Saccharomyces cerevisiae S288C: one gene and its partners. The gene in region 1 interacts genetically with each later gene. Each region holds a gene or a part of one and is shown on either strand. Other genes may lie near its edges.

What was found. Genes that interact genetically often act in the same process or in processes that back each other up.
Region 2: mutations in YLR152C (region 1) and PDR11 together harm fitness more than expected from each alone (negative genetic interaction), as found in Saccharomyces cerevisiae (2 studies listed by BioGRID).
Region 3: mutations in YLR152C (region 1) and ART5 together harm fitness more than expected from each alone (negative genetic interaction), as found in Saccharomyces cerevisiae (2 studies listed by BioGRID).

What each region holds. Positions count from the first base shown.
Region 1 is NC_001144.5:441,098-447,915, reverse strand, and holds YLR152C (uncharacterized protein), read left to right. Parts: upstream 1-3,227; coding exon 3,228-4,958; downstream 4,959-6,818. Other genes in the region: acetate--CoA ligase ACS2, read left to right, coding at 341-2,392; PCD1 (8-oxo-dGTP diphosphatase), read left to right, coding at 5,179-6,201; STM1 (Stm1p), read right to left, coding at 6,628-6,818.
Region 2 is NC_001141.2:326,222-334,100, forward strand, and holds PDR11 (ATP-binding cassette multidrug transporter PDR11), read right to left. Parts: upstream 6,222-7,879; coding exon 1,986-6,221; downstream 1-1,985. Other genes in the region: alpha-1,3-mannosyltransferase MNT3, read left to right, coding at 1-1,774; YIL012W (uncharacterized protein), read left to right, coding at 6,790-7,131; TIR3 (Tir3p), read left to right, coding at 7,506-7,879. UniProt on the Saccharomyces cerevisiae protein: Transporter involved in the uptake of sterol.
Region 3 is NC_001139.9:623,339-628,940, forward strand, and holds ART5 (Art5p), read right to left. Parts: upstream 3,747-5,602; coding exon 1,986-3,746; downstream 1-1,985. Other genes in the region: YGR067C (uncharacterized protein), read right to left, coding at 1-1,448; Rho family guanine nucleotide exchange factor ROM1, read left to right, coding at 4,468-5,602. UniProt on the Saccharomyces cerevisiae protein: May regulate endocytosis by recruiting RSP5 ubiquitin ligase activity to specific plasma membrane proteins in response to extracellular stimuli.

The DNA of each region.
Region 1 (6,818 bases):
CATATGCGTTTCCCGGGGCCGAAGCGTTATTGCCGATATTCGGTAGCCGATTCCGCTGGCTTTTTTTTTTTGAACGAGGCAAAAAAGTTTCGTGACTGAACTTCTTCGTCACTGGTTTTGTTGATAATTTTTATCGTTTTTTACTTCGAGATTGAAAACAGTGTTCTGAATTTTAGCAACGATATCGCACCGCACGTTTAGCCTGATCAAACCTTATATATACCTCTACCTTAAAATATATATATATATAGTATTCGAATTCCGAATTGTGTGTCTCCGCGGTTAGTGATTGTTATACACAAACAGAATACAGGAAAGTAAATCAATACAATAATAAAATATGACAATCAAGGAACATAAAGTAGTTTATGAAGCTCACAACGTAAAGGCTCTTAAGGCTCCTCAACATTTTTACAACAGCCAACCCGGCAAGGGTTACGTTACTGATATGCAACATTATCAAGAAATGTATCAACAATCTATCAATGAGCCAGAAAAATTCTTTGATAAGATGGCTAAGGAATACTTGCATTGGGATGCTCCATACACCAAAGTTCAATCTGGTTCATTGAACAATGGTGATGTTGCATGGTTTTTGAACGGTAAATTGAATGCATCATACAATTGTGTTGACAGACATGCCTTTGCTAATCCCGACAAGCCAGCTTTGATCTATGAAGCTGATGACGAATCCGACAACAAAATCATCACATTTGGTGAATTACTCAGAAAAGTTTCCCAAATCGCTGGTGTCTTAAAAAGCTGGGGCGTTAAGAAAGGTGACACAGTGGCTATCTATTTGCCAATGATTCCAGAAGCGGTCATTGCTATGTTGGCTGTGGCTCGTATTGGTGCTATTCACTCTGTTGTCTTTGCTGGGTTCTCCGCTGGTTCGTTGAAAGATCGTGTCGTTGACGCTAATTCTAAAGTGGTCATCACTTGTGATGAAGGTAAAAGAGGTGGTAAGACCATCAACACTAAAAAAATTGTTGACGAAGGTTTGAACGGAGTCGATTTGGTTTCCCGTATCTTGGTTTTCCAAAGAACTGGTACTGAAGGTATTCCAATGAAGGCCGGTAGAGATTACTGGTGGCATGAGGAGGCCGCTAAGCAGAGAACTTACCTACCTCCTGTTTCATGTGACGCTGAAGATCCTCTATTTTTATTATACACTTCCGGTTCCACTGGTTCTCCAAAGGGTGTCGTTCACACTACAGGTGGTTATTTATTAGGTGCCGCTTTAACAACTAGATACGTTTTTGATATTCACCCAGAAGATGTTCTCTTCACTGCCGGTGACGTCGGCTGGATCACGGGTCACACCTATGCTCTATATGGTCCATTAACCTTGGGTACCGCCTCAATAATTTTCGAATCCACTCCTGCCTACCCAGATTATGGTAGATATTGGAGAATTATCCAACGTCACAAGGCTACCCATTTCTATGTGGCTCCAACTGCTTTAAGATTAATCAAACGTGTAGGTGAAGCCGAAATTGCCAAATATGACACTTCCTCATTACGTGTCTTGGGTTCCGTCGGTGAACCAATCTCTCCAGACTTATGGGAATGGTATCATGAAAAAGTGGGTAACAAAAACTGTGTCATTTGTGACACTATGTGGCAAACAGAGTCTGGTTCTCATTTAATTGCTCCTTTGGCAGGTGCTGTCCCAACAAAACCTGGTTCTGCTACCGTGCCATTCTTTGGTATTAACGCTTGTATCATTGACCCTGTTACAGGTGTGGAATTAGAAGGTAATGATGTCGAAGGTGTCCTTGCCGTTAAATCACCATGGCCATCAATGGCTAGATCTGTTTGGAACCACCACGACCGTTACATGGATACTTACTTGAAACCTTATCCTGGTCACTATTTCACAGGTGATGGTGCTGGTAGAGATCATGATGGTTACTACTGGATCAGGGGTAGAGTTGACGACGTTGTAAATGTTTCCGGTCATAGATTATCCACATCAGAAATTGAAGCATCTATCTCAAATCACGAAAACGTCTCGGAAGCTGCTGTTGTCGGTATTCCAGATGAATTGACCGGTCAAACCGTCGTTGCATATGTTTCCCTAAAAGATGGTTATCTACAAAACAACGCTACTGAAGGTGATGCAGAACACATCACACCAGATAATTTACGTAGAGAATTGATCTTACAAGTTAGGGGTGAGATTGGTCCTTTCGCCTCACCAAAAACCATTATTCTAGTTAGAGATCTACCAAGAACAAGGTCAGGAAAGATTATGAGAAGAGTTCTAAGAAAGGTTGCTTCTAACGAAGCCGAACAGCTAGGTGACCTAACTACTTTGGCCAACCCAGAAGTTGTACCTGCCATCATTTCTGCTGTAGAGAACCAATTTTTCTCTCAAAAAAAGAAATAACTTAAATGAGAAAAATTTCGTAATGAGATAAAATTTCGCTCCTTTTCTGTTTTCTATTTTCTATTTTCCCAACTTTTGCTCTATTCAGTTATAAATTACTATTTATCCATCAGTTAAAAAACAAGATCTTTTACTGGTCAGCTAGGAAAGCGAAAATACAAAGACTTTATGCACTTAGTGATATATATGTATAGATATATCCATTTTTACGCACTTATCATATATCTTAGTTATCTAAATACAATCTAGTTATTCGTACACAATCGCCCCTGTTATCCCTATAGTGGGAATAAAGTAATGCACTGTGACGGGGTTCTTCGCCCGGGATAGGGTAAAAGGATATTGCCGTTTCAAGAAACTTCGGGGATAATCGAATAAGATACCGAGAAAGCTATTGTTCGTTGTGCACGTAGGATGTATATTGAACAAGCATGACCAGAATCTGATGCATTACGAGAAGGTTACGGGATGATATCAGACCTCCGAAGTCCATGTTGCAAAATGTGCCGACTTTCCGCGGCGCTATTTGGCACAAATTTCAGGAGAAACATCACTGTCGGTGTTATAGAATTCCATCTATATTGTTTTCCCCGTAGGCATACGTCGAGGAACTACTATATCTTTTTTCACCTTTTGTATATCTGTATTTTTGGGTCAATGTCTGGTACATAAGGTGAGTCATATTTACATCAAAGTGTGTAACGTATAAGAGGTAAAACAAGTTACAGTACTCATATAGTATTTCTTCTATCGGTAATTCTACATGTGTCTGATCAAGGTCTATCATTTTTATATGGTGGAAACGATTTTCTAGTACTACAATAAATGAACCAAGATGTCCCTTTCTCTGGGTGCCGCTATTTACATTGCATTAAAACCTATATTTAAAATTTACACCATTATGCTTGTTGGCTATTTGGTAGCTAAGTTCGATATTGTTTCCATGGAAAATGCGAAAGGTATATCAAATATGGTTGTTAACGCTATTTTGCCTTGTTTGACCTTCAACAAAATTGTGTCCAATATTTCATGGAGGGATATAAAGGAGATTGGAGTGATAATACTTTCAGCTTTTATCTTGTTTGTTTTAGGTGCCACGGGCGCCTTATTTACTACATTTGCTACGACTGTGCCCAAAAAATTCTTCTGGGGGCTCATATTTGCGGGTTTCTTTCCAAATATATCAGATTTACCTATTGCCTATATTCAGAGCATGGGTAACGGCTCCATTTTTACTGCTGAAGAAGCTGATAAAGGTGTTGCTTATTCCTGCATTTTTTTATTTATTCAAAGTTTCCTAATGATGAATTTTGGAATGTGGAGAGTGGTCGGACTTGATTTTAGAGATACAAAAGAACCAGATAGTGAGAATATTACTCCGTCAGTAAGTCCCGCTATCGACGATCGCAAACTTACTGAAATAACAAAGTTACCTAATATCACACGTCCTACAAATGCCTATCAATCGGAAGATGCGAGAAGTAATAGCGATTTGTCTTGTAACTCTATTACTACAAATGAAATGACACCGCAGGCATTCTACGAAGGTTTTACTGGCTACATCAAACCCTATAAAGAATCAAATGGTGCATCCCATAAATTTGAAAGTGACCTTCCGCATGCTGAAATATATAGGGTTTCCTCGACTTATTCAAGCCCAGGCGCATTGGAGTTCTCGCGAATAGATGGCAGTTCCCTCTCATATAGTCGTATATCAAAAAATAGCGATGGCAGAAGTTATAGAAGAAAAAGGAAAGCGGATATGAATGAGTTGATTTCCAAATACAGTGCCGCCGAAAAAATAAGGCAAGGTGAATTAGATTTATCAAGACCACTATCCTTGACTGAAGAAGTTGGAAGCAGGAACGCAAGTATTGGTAATGTGCACACTGGTTATACCGATGAAAGTTCCATCGAAGAAGAAAATTGCACTAATATGGCCACCGACGGGAGGGGTAGCCTCTCCTTCTTTATAGAGAGACACAATCTCAAATGGTTGCAGTACTTTATTATAAATTGCCTCAGGCCAGCATCTCTGGGGGCAATACTAGGAATAATATGTGCATTAATTCCCTGGGTTAAAGCATGCTTCGTAACGACATATGTTCACGTTCATAAGGCGCCTGATGGAGAACCTGTTCTGAATTTTTTAATGGATTTTACAGAGTATATTGGAAATGCATGTGTTCCATTGGGGCTTCTATTACTTGGCGGAACGTTGGCAAGATTAGAAATTAAGTCATTGCCACCTGGATTTATTAAATCCGCCTTATTGATGACATGCTTTCGATTAATTGTCATTCCTATTATTGGCGTCCTATGGGTAAATAAACTATATTCGATCGATTGGCTGGATACGGGCATAGGAAAATTTGACATGATATTAACGTGGTCCATGCCGAGTGCTACTGCTCAAGTATATTTCACAGCATTTTATACGCCAGCATGTGGTGATCACATTCAAATGAACTGTTTGTCCGTCTTATTTGTCATGCAGTATGCGATTCTTTTCATCACTGTGGCGTTTGTTGTTACATATACCTTAAAGGTCGATTTAAAAGTTTGATTATATCCCTAGGCGAATAGGTATATACAAGAGTAGCTTATTATCAACTTATATATTCTGTTTTTTCAAAAGTAGCGATGAATTCCAATCGCGTATTTATTCGTTGTATTTATTTTTTGGGGTAGGGTTGTGGGGGGGGATCCGCGTAAGTATATTTATAACAATTCAATAATAATATTGTAGATTTGAAGAGAATCACACATGTAACAGAAAAGCTGTAATGATATTAAGTCAGAGGAGGATGCTGAGTTCAAAGCAACTAATAGAGAACTTGATAAGATACAAATTTCATAAAACACCATATACTCGGAGCTCAATATGGCCTTTCAAAAGAAATTCGGCGGTAATAATACTATTATTCATTGGAATGAAAGGCGAACTACGAGTGCTTTTAACTAAACGTTCAAGAACATTGAGAAGCTTCTCAGGTGATGTTTCATTTCCTGGAGGTAAAGCTGATTATTTTCAAGAAACCTTTGAAAGCGTAGCCAGAAGAGAAGCTGAAGAGGAGATTGGGTTACCGCATGATCCTGAGGTCTTGCATAAGGAGTTCGGAATGAAATTAGACAATTTGGTCATGGATATGCCATGCTATTTATCAAGAACATTTTTAAGTGTTAAGCCAATGGTCTGTTTTCTTTACAAAGATAAATTAGAAAAACATGAGGATAAATACAAAGTTCCCTTAGATATCCGTAAGTTTTTTGGTAAGCTGAACCCTGGAGAAACATCTTCTTTGTTTTCTGTACCACTCAATGACTTAGTTATACATCTTCTTCCTGAAGCCGATGAGGATGTTAAGAGTTATCAAGCAGAATATTTTGAGCGGAAGGAGTATAAGCTTAATTGGGGTGGAATAAAATGGTTGATTATGCATTATCATTTTCACGTAGCAAATAATAACGAAATGCCATGGTTGCAAACCATAGAGGATTTATCAAGTTCAGACGAAGACGGTGTTGATGGAGGTATTTTCAGATTCAGGGATTTGTGGGGACTCACATGTAAAATATTATTCGACGTTTCATGTATAGCTAATGGACTAATGGACGAAAAGTTAAAAGGAGAACTAGGGCACGAAGATTTGATAGTTGGACTACATGACTATGGTAATCAGATGCAACCGAACGGAAGAAGTGAATGGGAGATAGGAATGATCAACGGCGACAGAAACTTAAAATATAGCGATGTGATACCTGAATACTACATGAAGCACCTGCTGGAGTGCCGCTCGCTTTGGTAAAAAAAACTGTGGTATAATGCGTTGCCTAACAATACTCTCAAGAGATAATCAAGATGAGAGAAAAAGAATCATACTGGATGTCCTTAATCGATAACAAAAAGTTTTTAATGAAGAATGACTAATGATGAAATTGTTATACAAATACAAACAAACTACACGCTTGCACATCTCAGAAGTGAAAAAAAAAAAAAGAAAATTGAAAAGTAAATTAAAAGTCATTTATTTTTTATTGCTTAAATAAAACAAAATGATATGTCATATTCTCGATTGGATGTCAACCCAATTTTATTCTTTGGTTTGCCAGCATGATCATCTTCACTTGCAAATTATATAGTAAATAACCAATTAAAATAATAATAGTAATAGAAACAGAAAGTAGAACACTGTTATTGGATTCTTTCAGTTGGAATTATTCATATATAAGGCTTAAGCCAAAGATGGCAAGTTAGAAACGTCAATGTTACGGTTCTTTTGAACGGTGTTAGCAGAGTTAGTAGCGTTAGCAGTGTTGTTACCCTTTCTAGCGCCTCTACCACCACGACGGTTGTTGAAGTTGTTTCTGCTGTTGTTGTTTCTGTCACCGAAGTTCTTTCTAGTGTTAGATTCAACAAAAGTGG
Region 2 (7,879 bases), on another chromosome or scaffold:
ATTAAACAACCATGCAAGCGAGAGGACAGCTGTTGAATCATCTGCATTCAATTGGATTGAAAAACGACAACACCAAGTGAGATCCGAAAACTTAATGAACAGATTATCTGCCTACTTTTTGCCCTTTTTGAGTAGAAGTTCTCACAAAGAACGTGTATTGTTGAGGCAATTAGGAAATAATGAAATAGCGAAGAGTGACAAGTGCCGTTACATTTTTGAAGTACTATACAAGATTGATCCCGACTGGGACAATGCGCAAACTGCAAAATTTTATAATGTTGATGGTGTAGATAACACGTTGGCCTCATTGTTAGGGGAAAGATTAAGATCTTATGATTATTGCTTTTTATCTGGTCAATTAGATCCTACTGCAATATTTGCAAATTCAACCGTAAATCCTCATGATTTGCAAAACAGAATGTTTCCATTTCTGAAGAAAATTAACGAGGAATCCAAAACTGTAATGTGGCCTATTATCACAGACATGACAACTGGAGAGGCAGTTCCGGCACCCGAGGTTGATATGGAATCATCAAACTTTAATGGTAACTTTTGGTCCAACTGGAATAGGTTGAGCAAAGGAAGAGGTTTTGTTTTAACTATTGCTGAAAAGGATGTTCCTTTATTTTTGAAACAGTTGAAAGTGATGGAATTTTCAAAAAACGAATTACCATTCCAAATAGTATCCACGGGAAATGAACTATCAGCAGAGTCTATTGCTAAAATTTCTGAGACCGCTAAAGAAACGGAACAAAGGGTCTACTTAGTAGACTGCTCGACAGTGCTTGACACTAATTTTGCTAATACATACATTTCTTTTTTTCAGAATAAATGGGTCGCCACTTTGTTCAACACATTTGAAGAATACATTTTGTTGGATGCAGACGTAGTACCGTTTGTAGGGTCTGATTACTTTTTCGACTCTCCTTCTTACAGGGAGAGCGGGATACTTTTGTTCAAGGATAGGGTTATGGAAAACGAGCAAACTTTCCAATACTGCATCGAAATGTTAAATGAAGTGGAACCCTCTGCACAAGAACGCAGATTTATTGGAAGTAGGTTAGTTTTTGATTCGTCATTACCGTTTTCTTCCGAAACCTCAGAAGAAGCATCTGTGTATTACAATTTTTTCAAAAAATTACGACTCCATCATGTTGATAGTGGTTTGGTTGTAGTCAATAAACTTGAGAAATTAAATGGATTGTTGATGTCTTTTATGTTAAATTTGGATGGAAAATTGCAGAGGTGTGTGTATGGTGACAAGGAAATATTCTGGTTGGGGCAATTATATGCTGGCCAGGATTATTCTATCAATCCCGTTGATGGCAGTATTATTGGACCTGTTAATGAAGAGCCTGAAAATGATGACGGACATAAAAGCGGGATGTACTACATTTGTTCTACGCAGATTGCACACAGTGACTCCAAAAATCGATTACTATGGGTAAACGGTGGACTGAAGACTTGTAAAATTTCGAACAGTGCTGAAGATGACTTTGGAAGAGAGCCAGAGTATTTTAAGAGTAGATATGGGGACATTTCAAAATTAAAAAGGATATATGATGCTTCGTTGAACGTAGAGGGACTAATCGTTCCTGACGTTTCTGTTCATCCATGGATGCAAATCAAGGAATGTTCTAATTATATGTATTGTGCATATGCTACGGGTGACGGACACACAAACTCTGAACTTGACGAAGGTCGTCTAATCACGTTTACTGAAAAGGAATTACGATATATCAATGATATTTCTCGAACCTGGAATGCTAATTGAGAAAAAAAAAAGTGAAAAGGAAATGAGAGTATTAATATTTATTAAGTATGGAGCATATATAATCCGAAAAATGATTATAGATTAATTTAGAATATGATTTGGGAATAAATTAACAATTAGTTTAAAGCAGAAGGCAGCCGGATGAGGAACAAGAACTGTTGAATAGTATTAGGTAATTTTGAATGTTTTCTAACGGAACGCTATTCACTGATTATACGCTTTGTTCGTTTGGATTATGAGATGTTTTGGACCGCCTCATTGATGGGATACACTTCTTTATACCATCAATCACAGAAGGCCAAATTTTTTTGATGTAGGTTAGGTAGAAGCCCACAAACATGGCGGCAATGTTAAAGCAAACGAAAACCCATTCAAAACCAAAATTTCTCCATCTGTGATGATAACTCATATTTTCTTGAGCAAGGAAGTCATCCCCAACAGTGTACATGCAGTAGGCGCAGACGGTGTATGTGTTATTGATGTGCAGTTTCCCACCAAATTCATCAATAAAGGGTTTCATAAACTGACCGCAGGTTTGACCCATTACAGGTTGGCTTGGTACCATTTCACTTGTCGAGCAGTTTACTTCTCTGTCATGGAGAAGTAAGCTTACGAAAGTTTCAATGAAATACGTGTATGGTGAAACCCTGTACATGAATGTCCAAAATCTTGGGAATAACGAGTATGGTTGCATAACGCCACAGAATGAAGCTGTGAAACTATAGAGGAAGGCAACAAAGACAGCGGCAGTTTGTAAATCGGGGGCAGAATATAGAAGCCACAACCCAAATGACAAATAATACATGGAAAATAAAATATAATTCAAGTAAAAGACACCAGCTACACGGGCAGAGGTTTCGAAACCGCAACAGAAGTAGCAACACAGGAAAAATAAGGTAGAACTGGAAATGGCTAATGGTAATTCAACAATAGTTTGAGCAATCAAAAGAACGGTCCAATGATAAGTATTAGATCTCGCTTCCCTGGCGATATATACTTCTTTAGATTGCAAAGCCTTATCTTGAACCTGATTGATCAAAGGGGAGGAAACACAAAGCATCATGAAGCACAAGAAAATAGCATCTTGCAGACCGTTGATATTATGCTTTGTCCTCCAAAATGAAAATCCAATGAATAGTCCAGCGCCAGCATTCAAAGCATATTTAGCGAAAACATAGGTCATGTCTCTCTTGGTACAAATGTACTGTCTCTTTGTGATTAACTTTATTTGTTCCATATACGAAGGCGGACTCCATACGGACGTAGTGAAATCAACACCAGATTTCCGGGCTTCTTCTTCTAATAAAAGCAAATCATCAGCAACCCGCACTTTTTCTGGAGAGGATTGCCAGAGTTCTGCCCAGTTAATTGAATCAGATTGCTTATGGTAAGATACTGGCTCATCAATTTTGCTTGAGGTTGGCTTCTCTGCATCATCCATTGGAATATTTGTACTTCCGCTACCAACAACGTCAATAACGAAATCAGCCGGATTATCCATTTCTCTGTCAAATGTTAGGCGTCTATCGTGAGCTACAAAATAGTCACAGGCATTAGGTAATGAACCAAAATAGACACACTCACCACCTCTTTTTAGTAAATAGATGTTATCAAAATAGCTGATGACACTTTTGCTAGGCTGATGAATAGTACATAAGATAGCCTGACCTTGCATCGAAAGCTTTTTCAGAAATTGCACGATGGTTAAAGCTGCTTCGGCGTCTAGCCCTGAAGTAGGTTCATCTAGGAATAACAACAGAGAAGGCTTAGTGACCAATTCAACACCAATAGATAATAATTTTCTTTGAGTTGGAGATAAATCAGCAACCAGTTTTTCCGAAGGCAATCTTAATAGGTTGCTAACAACTCCTAAATAGTCTCTATCCCCATCACCTCTTAGGACGCAGGAAATTTCCAAAGACTCTCTCACAGTTAAGAGCTCTAAATGAACATCTTGCTGTTGAACGAACCCTATACTTCTTCTGAATGCATCAATATTCGTTAAGGGCTGTCCATCGATTAATAATTCACCGGTAACAACCCCGCTTTCGGTCCTTTGAGACAAGACATTCAACAAAGTTGTCTTACCAGCACCAGATTCACCCATTAGGGCAGTTAATCCGGAACTTATATATCCAGAAGCGTCGTTGATCAATTTTTTGTCTCCAATGGTATAATTGATATTTTTCCAGGAGATGACGTGCTTTTGCGTTTCCATAGCTACGGATTCCTTAGTATGATTGTTAACAGTTTCATCTGGATGTTTAATATTGTAATCAGTATCGTATTGATGCGAGACTGATGGAACAGAAGAGGATGAAGTGGAAAAATTGGCTATCGGGGTCTTGGGAGTACATACGCCATCGTTGTTGGTAATAGCGCTTTTATTATTCTTTTTTTGGCTATTCAGAAAGGGACAGTATCTTTTGAGATAGTTATTCCAGCGCAATAAATTTTCTCTAGTAAACAGAGGCGTGATATATTCCGCTGCTAGTAAAGAGCAAAATAGGAAGAAACACAGAAACCCAATGATAATACCGAAATTTCTCCACACGTGATGGTAAGTGTATTTCAATCCACTTTTTAAATAATCACGGCCTCTGACGTAATCGTTACCTAGGGTAGCGCCTTGCCAGGCACAAGCTTTATGACTGAATGAAATATTGTCATAATATTCACCTCTGGGAATAATACTTTCATGACAGTCTAGTTTCAGGTTAAACAATTCGTTACTCAAAATGGCTTCCATGGCAAACATAGCAGGATTCAAATATGCAATCCATATGAACCATGGATGCATATCTTTCATATAAATAACATAGGACGCGTACATGGCAATGGCTAACAGTAAGATACCGGCCAATAGGTTTGCCATTGATAGAGTTGGAGCGATCAAAGCAGTTAATGCAAATAGTGACACCATGCAAAAATTATAGACGGAAAGGAAAAGCAAAAAGATGAAAAACCTAGCTGCATTGTACTGTAAATGGGCCAAAAAGTAAAGTATGATTGTAAAAATAACCACCAGTATAAATTTAGAGCAGCAATCGAAAAAATTTGTTGCTAAAGTTTCCACCCAATTATAATAAAAATGGAGCTGGACATGTTTACGAACGACGGGTTGCCTTTGAAAGGAAGCAGGCATGTCGGCGAGAGAAAGAAATGTAAAGAATAGGATGGAAAAGAAAGTTAAAGATCCTCTAGAAAACGAACCAATTGTTGTCAGGGGAATGTTATAAAAAAGGGACCCAATAACCAAAGACTGCACCACAACAGAAACAAATTGAGAAATCAAGTAGTTTCTGTCACCAATGATTCTTTCGAAAGCTCTTACAGTGCACGTTTTCAGTTGCGTCTTTAGCGGAATACTAAAAATGGGGGAGATATCATCCGGATTAACATCTTTTCTGGTGCATTCTTGCACTGTTTTTGAAGTGATGGCCTTCCAGTGTTTATAGTATGGAGACTGAATCCATAATGTATGCAAATCTGTTTCATTATTGATGTTTAAAGCTTGATTTTCTTCAGAAACAACAGATGGAGTGTCAAGACCAACAATGGAATTAGACGTTTCCTTGAACTTAAAATTTAAGATTGATGTTAAATATTCAATAATACAATCGTTAGGGTTTTTTTTTATCTGTAAGGTGTCATGAAAATGGGTTAAACACTCCTCCATGGTTCCGTAAAACACCTGGAAGGAATCACCTAACATAAGAATCTTGTCAAACTTGCTGACAATTTTGTCGCTTGCTTGAGAAATTTTAACAAAATTCACCGATCTTGTAGCTTTTGCCATCTTTTGGGTAATGGAAAGAAATTCTAGGGCGGTGGCAGAGTCCAAACCCTTCGTCGAGTTGTCCCATAAGTAAACAGACCCATTGGCAATAAACGTTTCTATAATGGAGATACGTTTCCTTTCACCTCCAGAAACACCACGAACGTAGTCATTACCCACATACGTCTTCTTTACGTGCGACAGTCCGAACTCTTTTAATAACTCGTCTCTCATTTCAATACGCTCTTGCTTGGGAATGTGAAACTTACAACTCAACGCAAAATCAATGGTTTGCTCCACCGTCAGATACGGGAAGTGAATATCTTGTTCGTTATTATAAATGATCTGATGGGGGCATTTGGAAGCAAACTGTTTGTACTCATTGTCTTTGAATCTAATAGACCCTTCAGGCGAGTATTTCAGATGCTTGTGACCATGGAATAGACCTTTGAAGAGCGCTGATGTTGGGTTTCCCAGTACTAAGACGACTTCACCTTCATTAGCACGAAAAGTGATATCACTAATTTCTAAATGGCCTACGTTTTTGAATTCCGATGCGGACTCTTCATCGTTCTGAACAGCACCGAGGGATTCTTCCAATTGAACGGTAGCCCCATCAAAGGTGACTGAAGCGTCAGGAATTGGATTAAAATATTTGGAAAGAGACATCCGCGAGGCGTTGCTTCTCTAATTTTACTCTATCGTGTTTAGTTGTGAATTTTTTTGCTACAGTATGCAAGTTCTTTTTACCAACCCGTTTACGAACTAATGAGAAAAGGGTTTAAGTGTGTGATAATACTATTAATAGCTAAAAGAGCAGAGAGCTTTACGATGTTGTATGTTGTTTTATATAGGTGAGAGCAGGATCTGCGGAAAATACTTCGTACCGTAGTATCCATTTTGCCTATGGAGGAAAGCTTGTTTCCAAACCAGGAGATCCGCAGACAGGAAAAGTTCGAGGCCAAACAAAAACCGCAGCACAATGGAGTAAAAGTCGAAGGCACGGGCCCCAAACGATAGAGTGGAAGTTGTAGGAAACAAAAGTGGCCGTCTATGTGGCGCTTCTCTGCGGTGAATTCTGTGCGAAGTGCCTAAACGAAAACGGACGGAGAAGGCTGCGGGGGGATATCCCTTGCATAAAGGATGCCCGGCACTGTCCTAGACGGTGCCTTCCCTTAGAGACTAGGAGAGACTTGAGTAGGAGAAACTGAGCAGGAAAATTCGAGAGATAAAGTACATGTGCCTAGGTAAGCTGTACTTCGAACAGCTAATATTAGTAAGATGCATAAAGGGGCGTCAAAGTGGAAATATAACGACAGGAGAATCTCGGTGTGTAAGTTGGAATGTGTATTGCACCACTTCCATGATTGGGCTTTTTTCCTGGCGCAAAATGTTGCTTTTTCAACATTTTTCTTATACGCAGAGAGAGAATCGTCAGATAGGTGGTAAAACTTGGAGCCTAATTAGCTCATTATTTCATTTGAACGAGACATTGGCTTCTGCCCTACATCACCCATACGAGACATTGGCCTTATACGAGGCGTACTTCGCCTTGCGGGAAAAAAAATTTCTTTTGTAAGCGAGGTTACTCAGAAACTGTGACTGAAGGCAGAGGTTGGAAACGTGTGTAGACTCCAAATGGAACGATAGGAACGTGTACCCTACCGCTTCTGCACACGTTTCTTAGATATGCGTGCCTTAAGGCGACCCATTGTTCCTGTTTACCATGATTTCTGTAGGCTTTTTTTTAGAAGGCCCTAGAATGGATTGCAGATTTCCGTCTGAGAAGGCAGTATACGTACATATGAATATATATATACATATATTCTTTGGTGGAGAGTATAAGCGTTTCGTCTCCTCTTCCTTTCTCTACTGCAGATTTTCTTGCTGGTTGTTTGATTTTTTCTTTTTAGTGTTCCCCAGATCCAATTGTTCAACCGCCCACACACAACAATGTCTTTCACTAAAATCGCTGCCTTATTAGCTGTTGCCGCTGCCTCCACTCAATTGGTTTCTGCTGAAGTTGGACAATATGAAATCGTCGAATTTGACGCTATTTTGGCTGATGTCAAGGCCAATTTGGAACAATATATGTCCTTGGCAATGAATAATCCAGACTTTACCCTACCATCTGGTGTTTTGGATGTTTACCAACATATGACCACTGCTACTGATGATTCCTACACCAGTTATTTCACCGAAATGGACTTTGCTCAAATCACCACTGCCATGGTTCAAGTGCCTTGGTACTCTTCTAGACTGGAACCTGAAATCATCGCTGCTTTACAAAGCGCGGGTATCAGTATTACCTCCTTAGGTCAAACCGT
Region 3 (5,602 bases), on another chromosome or scaffold:
ATGAACCATATGTTCCTTGTGGTCCCATTTCTCAAAGTCAAGTTGTTGATGAATTCGAACCAAATCGTTTCCCACAATAACCAGTTACTTTTCGATTTGCAGTCCGTAATCCTGGCGTTCATAACGTTCGCAAATAAAGAGGGGTTTGCACTAGTTTCAGGTTTGATCGGCTGCTGCATTACGAAACATTCATTCAAGTAAACCAGCAAATCATGCACTCTAAAATCAGATGGCAGCTCTTGCGGATAAGTCTTCTTTATTATAAAATACACGTACGCGGAATCTGCCAAAATATTGATATGCTTTAAAGTTAAGTCAGTAGTGGACATTGACGGTCCCTTGTATATGAAGTCCTTAAGTGGATTAGACGAAATAAACTCTTGATTGACGAACCAACCAAATATTAGTAAAGAATCGTTGTTGAAGTTGTTTGAATCGCGCAAGATATTGACCCATAGATCGAATATGAACCATGCATTTTCCTTACTATTCAAATAATGGTAACTGGAGGATGCCACGGTGAATGGCTTCAGAATATCTTGAAGCATTGAAAACACATCGAACTTTTTAATGGAATTAGAAACAGGAATGTTATTCTCCAACATTACTAGAAGAGAATAAAATAGAATCAAGGCAAAAACATCATGTTGCTCTGTCTGTGACAAAATGTCCTCAGTGTCAAAGTCATTGTCATGTTTAGATGAGCTAGCATACAAATTCGTACAACAGATAAACCATAGTTTTTGAGAATCTTGATTTAACGAAATGGACATACCCAGACAAGCTATTATGAGACCAAAAGGCTTGTTAATCCAAAAACTTTCCACCAGCTCGTCATTTTGTAGTGATGAGAACAGGTCTGGAAAGAAATTTTGGAAGATCTTATTTTCTACCAAGTGGCTTACACCCATTCTGAAGAAAGTTAGAATATCTCTTGAGCTAATAAAATCTAATGAATATTCTTGCAAAATTTTTACACTGATGGAGGACTCCAACCGGCTTTTAACCTGCTTAAAGCGGCTTTTCCCTTTCTTTAAACTAGAGGACTCCTTCCCAATCACACAACGTTGCTGCTTATCCATTTTTTCAACATTACTACTATGATAGTGAATATTGATAAGGCCGCTGTTGACCTTAATCATCGAATTAACGAGTGTTTCCATTTTGATATCTCTGGGTGAAGTCGAATCAACGTCACCAACGCCAAGTGATACAGGGATATCAGCCTTATCGCCTGTCATTGACGCGTAACTGGATAAGAGGAAGGTTCTGTGGACAGTCCTGATGTGTCGCTGTAAGAGATCGCGTCTAACAAAAGAGTGTTTACAGACTTGGCACTGGAAAGGCTTCACGCCCGCATGAGACCTTTCATGCCTTATCTTGTGCTCGGATCTCGAGAAAGGCTTCAAACAAAAGGAACATATATATTTTTTTTGACCCGCAGCCATAGCAGTGATAATGCAAATACAATTACTGTATATCAACAATTGTCTTCTCCCGAGAGAAGGTTTTAAATAAAAGCGACAAGTAAAGCTCTTAAGCCATGCCAACTGGCATGAAGAAGAACCGAAAAAGAAGAAATAGAAAGCAGAAAAATGTAAAACTAAACTTTATAAGTACTTTGAAGATGCGTTCTATATAAATATGTGGGGTTAAGTGAACATGACTCGAAATCTATAATGCAGCGATTACGATAAGTATCCACATTAAACGTCAATTATTTTGCGTTGTAAGCATATGCGCGGGGGAGGGGGCGCACCCTTGAAGTGCAGTCTGTCTATCATATTACTGAACCATTTCCTTCGCTTGACTTACATCATTGGCAACACATGCCTGGATCGCTTTAGCGGCTACCTTTAGTCCATATTTTCTTCTATTACCAGATCCCATCATCCCCCTTTGTCCGATTGACGACCATTTTGCCGCGGACGATCGGAGGGGATTGCCAACGCGGGGTAGCCGACTCGGGGCGCCGAGAGCGGGGATCAGTCATCGTCGCAGTAAGCGGGTACGGACCCTGTCACGTAAGACGATGCCGATGCCTGCGCCTGCGCCTGCTCGTATGACGGCACTGTCAGTACCACCGAATCGGCGCCGAGCGGCTGTAGCGCCGGCATGAGATGATCGTTGGTGCTCTCGTGATAATTCGGTGGCGGTTGTGGCAGCGCGAGGTGCGCCGTTGTAGTGGAGTTCAGTTCAACGCCTGGAGTCAGACCCTGCGCGGGGTAAGTGGTTAAAAAAAGGGGTACTAATTCGCCAGGGCGGAAGTGGATCTTGCCATCGTGTTTATCAAACAACACTAGACGGCCTTTCATAGGCAGATGCGGCGAAATAAATAATAACATAGGTAATTGCGCCTTGATCTCCAGGTTCTTGTATTCGCCATCCACTTGACGTTGTAAAAGAATACGTACCTGCAATTTGTGCATGACACGGATTAGGTTGTCTTGCAGACAGCAGTCTTGAGTTATTTGTTTGAGGTTATCTGGAATTGTAAAGGGACAATCGACGTCAAGTTTGTCCGTCAGCGGGCCGAAGTCCGCTAGATGAGTAATTTTCATGACGGCTATTTCATCATCATAAATTTGTGCGCTGCTGTCCTTCATTGCGTAATATTGGATTAGCGCCATTTCTATCCTATCCAAACGAATGTTCTTTTCGAAGGGGAAAATCTTAATCTTCACGGGGGTTGTGCTACCAATAGGAACAGCCCTACTCGGGATGGACGTTTCGTATTGCAACTTGTCACGCCAAGTATTACCCACGCTAATTTCTTCTTGCATGGCAAGATTGTCCATCGATAATGTACGAAGGATTCTGAGATACTTGAACTTTTTGATGATAATTTTATTCTTCGTTCTCATACCATTGCCGCTCGTACTTGTGCTACCGATTGGACCGTGAGGAGAAGTATGAACGCTCAGATCAGTATCCCATAACTGACGTCCATCTATAATGGCTTCAAAGGAATACAGTATGCTACCACTTTGTAGTCCCTCGATTGTTTCGCACACTTCTGGGGGGAGCATTGTATTGAAGGGTAGTTCGTAGTTGCCTCTTTTCATTAGGAATAAGTACGAACTTCCAGACCCGTCTCTGTTACTATAACTATGGCTATTGTTATTGAGGGTGTTACTACTACTGCTTCTACTACGGGCGTTTTCTCTTAAACCCTCGAAAGGGGTTCCTGTAACACCATTTTCTGGTAGCTCTAGTATTTTTCTGTGGGAAGAATGGGTCTTTCTTCGAATTATTTTGTTGAAAACAGGGCTCGAAAGTGATCTCTTGCTTAGAAATATTGCGTTGCCGCTGGTGTCCATATCTTGGTTGCTTGTACTGCGACCGCTACTACTGTTATGTTGATTTTCCGCATTTTCCCCACCGACTAAAACATCCCCTTTTGAAGAAACCAATAAGTTGTCCCAATAGCATTCGAAAATCTTACGCTTTTCCTTAACTAGACTTGCCAAACTACTGCTATTCTTCTTATATCGGCCAACTTGCAAAAACTCCAATTTGAATCTTCCTACCAATCTCAGCGAAATTTTCTTCACTACGATCTCATTTTTCACTGAAATCACTAAGTTTCCTGATAAAGGTATAGACGACAGTTCCAACGGTGACCCTTGGATCAAAATTATGTCCTTGTACGGGGAGTTTATTCTAATATCAAAATAACTTATTCTCTCTCTTTCCTTCTGCTCTGAATGCCCACCGCTGCTAGATAGCGAACTAAGTGAAAACATGGTCTTGCTTCACCCTATTCTCGCCGAGAGCTGTACAAGATATTTTTTACTTTTGCCATCTTATACTCATCCTAATCATCTGTTTCATTTTCCTTCTATTTCTTTTTTTTTTTTTTTTTTTTTTTTTTTTTTCAGTTTTCGAAGAAACTGCCTTTTTAGAATTGTAAAAGACGAAGTGAAGTATTCAGGAGTATATTATTACATACATACAAAGCAAGACAAAGAAACATTTTTAGATCTAACATTTTACTTCAATTGTTTTTGTATTCCTTATAATAAGAAAGACCTGCTGTTTAATGTGGGAGTAATCCGTCCCCTACTCGATCTTCAATAAATTGTCATCTTGTATCTAAAGGAGCGCTCCAGTACTCCAATTAAGCACCACCTAGTGCGTCTAGTGTCGATTTTTTTTTCACGCATACGTTTGTATGTTTCTTAAATTTCCCATGATTTTTTGTTGCCAATGTCATATCTACAAACTCTATACGAAAGTAAACGCACTTCATCTTTTTTGCCCTAAAACGGCAATATTTAGACATATCATAAGGGGCCCAAGGGAGAATCGTTAATTTTAAACTTTTCTTTGCTCTTGAATGAAAAAGTAAATAAATAAAACTAAATCAAAAAAAAGAACGCCACGTTTGAATTTTAAAGCAAAAATTTTGTTGATTTAGTAATGATATAAATAAAACCAAGTCGTTGGTAAGAATTTGGTTAGGTTATGAATAGTAATGAACTGGATCTAAGAAATAAATATTTTTATGAGATATTCGGTAAGAAAAGAAAATCAGATACTTCAACCCCTACTCAGTTGTTCTCCGGCTCCAAAGTTCAGACAAACATCAATGAAATTTCTATCACTAACGATGAGGATGAAGATAGTACTGAAGATGAAAATAAGGCTTCATTGAAGGATTATACACTAGGGCACGACACCGGTGCACGGTATAGGATAGCACCGGACTGTTCTTCCCACCAATTAAAGGCATCTCCTGTCCTACATATTTCAACAAACCTTAATTCAAGTCCACAATCCTTCACAGGCGATCAGATTTCACCTACTAATAAAAAAATTTCAATAAATGATTCGACCAGACAAGATAAAGGTAACAGTTGCACTACCACTTCATCACCTTCTCAAAAAAGATCGAATGTTTTGCTTCCTCACGTAAGAAAACATTCATCTCCTTCACTATTATCATTTTCCAAAAACAGTGGCAGTCATATGGGGGATCCAAACCAGCTATCTACGCCTCCAACTCCCAAAAGTGCAGGTCACACGATGGAGTTACACAGTTCATTCAATGGAAAACATAGTTCTTCTAGCACCTCTTCTTTATTTGCATTAGAGTCACTGAAAACCCAAAATAGACGCTCATCAAACTCTTCCAATCATTCTAGTCAATATCGACGCCATACTAATCAACACCAACGTCATCATTCAAGGTCCAAATCAAGTCCTGTCTCTCTGACGGAAATATCCATGATCAAAGGCACGCCTTTGGTTTATCCTGCACTTTTATCACTAATAGCAATTAAATTCAAACAGACCATCAAATTGAGCACGCATAAAAAGATGGGGTTACTTTACAGAGATTCCTTTACAGGAAAACAAGCAATTGATACTTTATGCTTGATCATAGGAAGCTTAGATCGTAATTTGGGCATGTTGATCGGAAAATCGCTGGAAGCTCAAAAATTGTTCCATGACGTACTTTATGACCATGGCGTAAGAGATTCTGTACTGGAGATTTACGAGTTATCTTCAGAATCAATTTTTATGGCACATCAGTCGCAGAGTTCTACTTCAATTGCCAACACATTTTCTTCATCATCTTCTTCAGTTAATTCGCTCC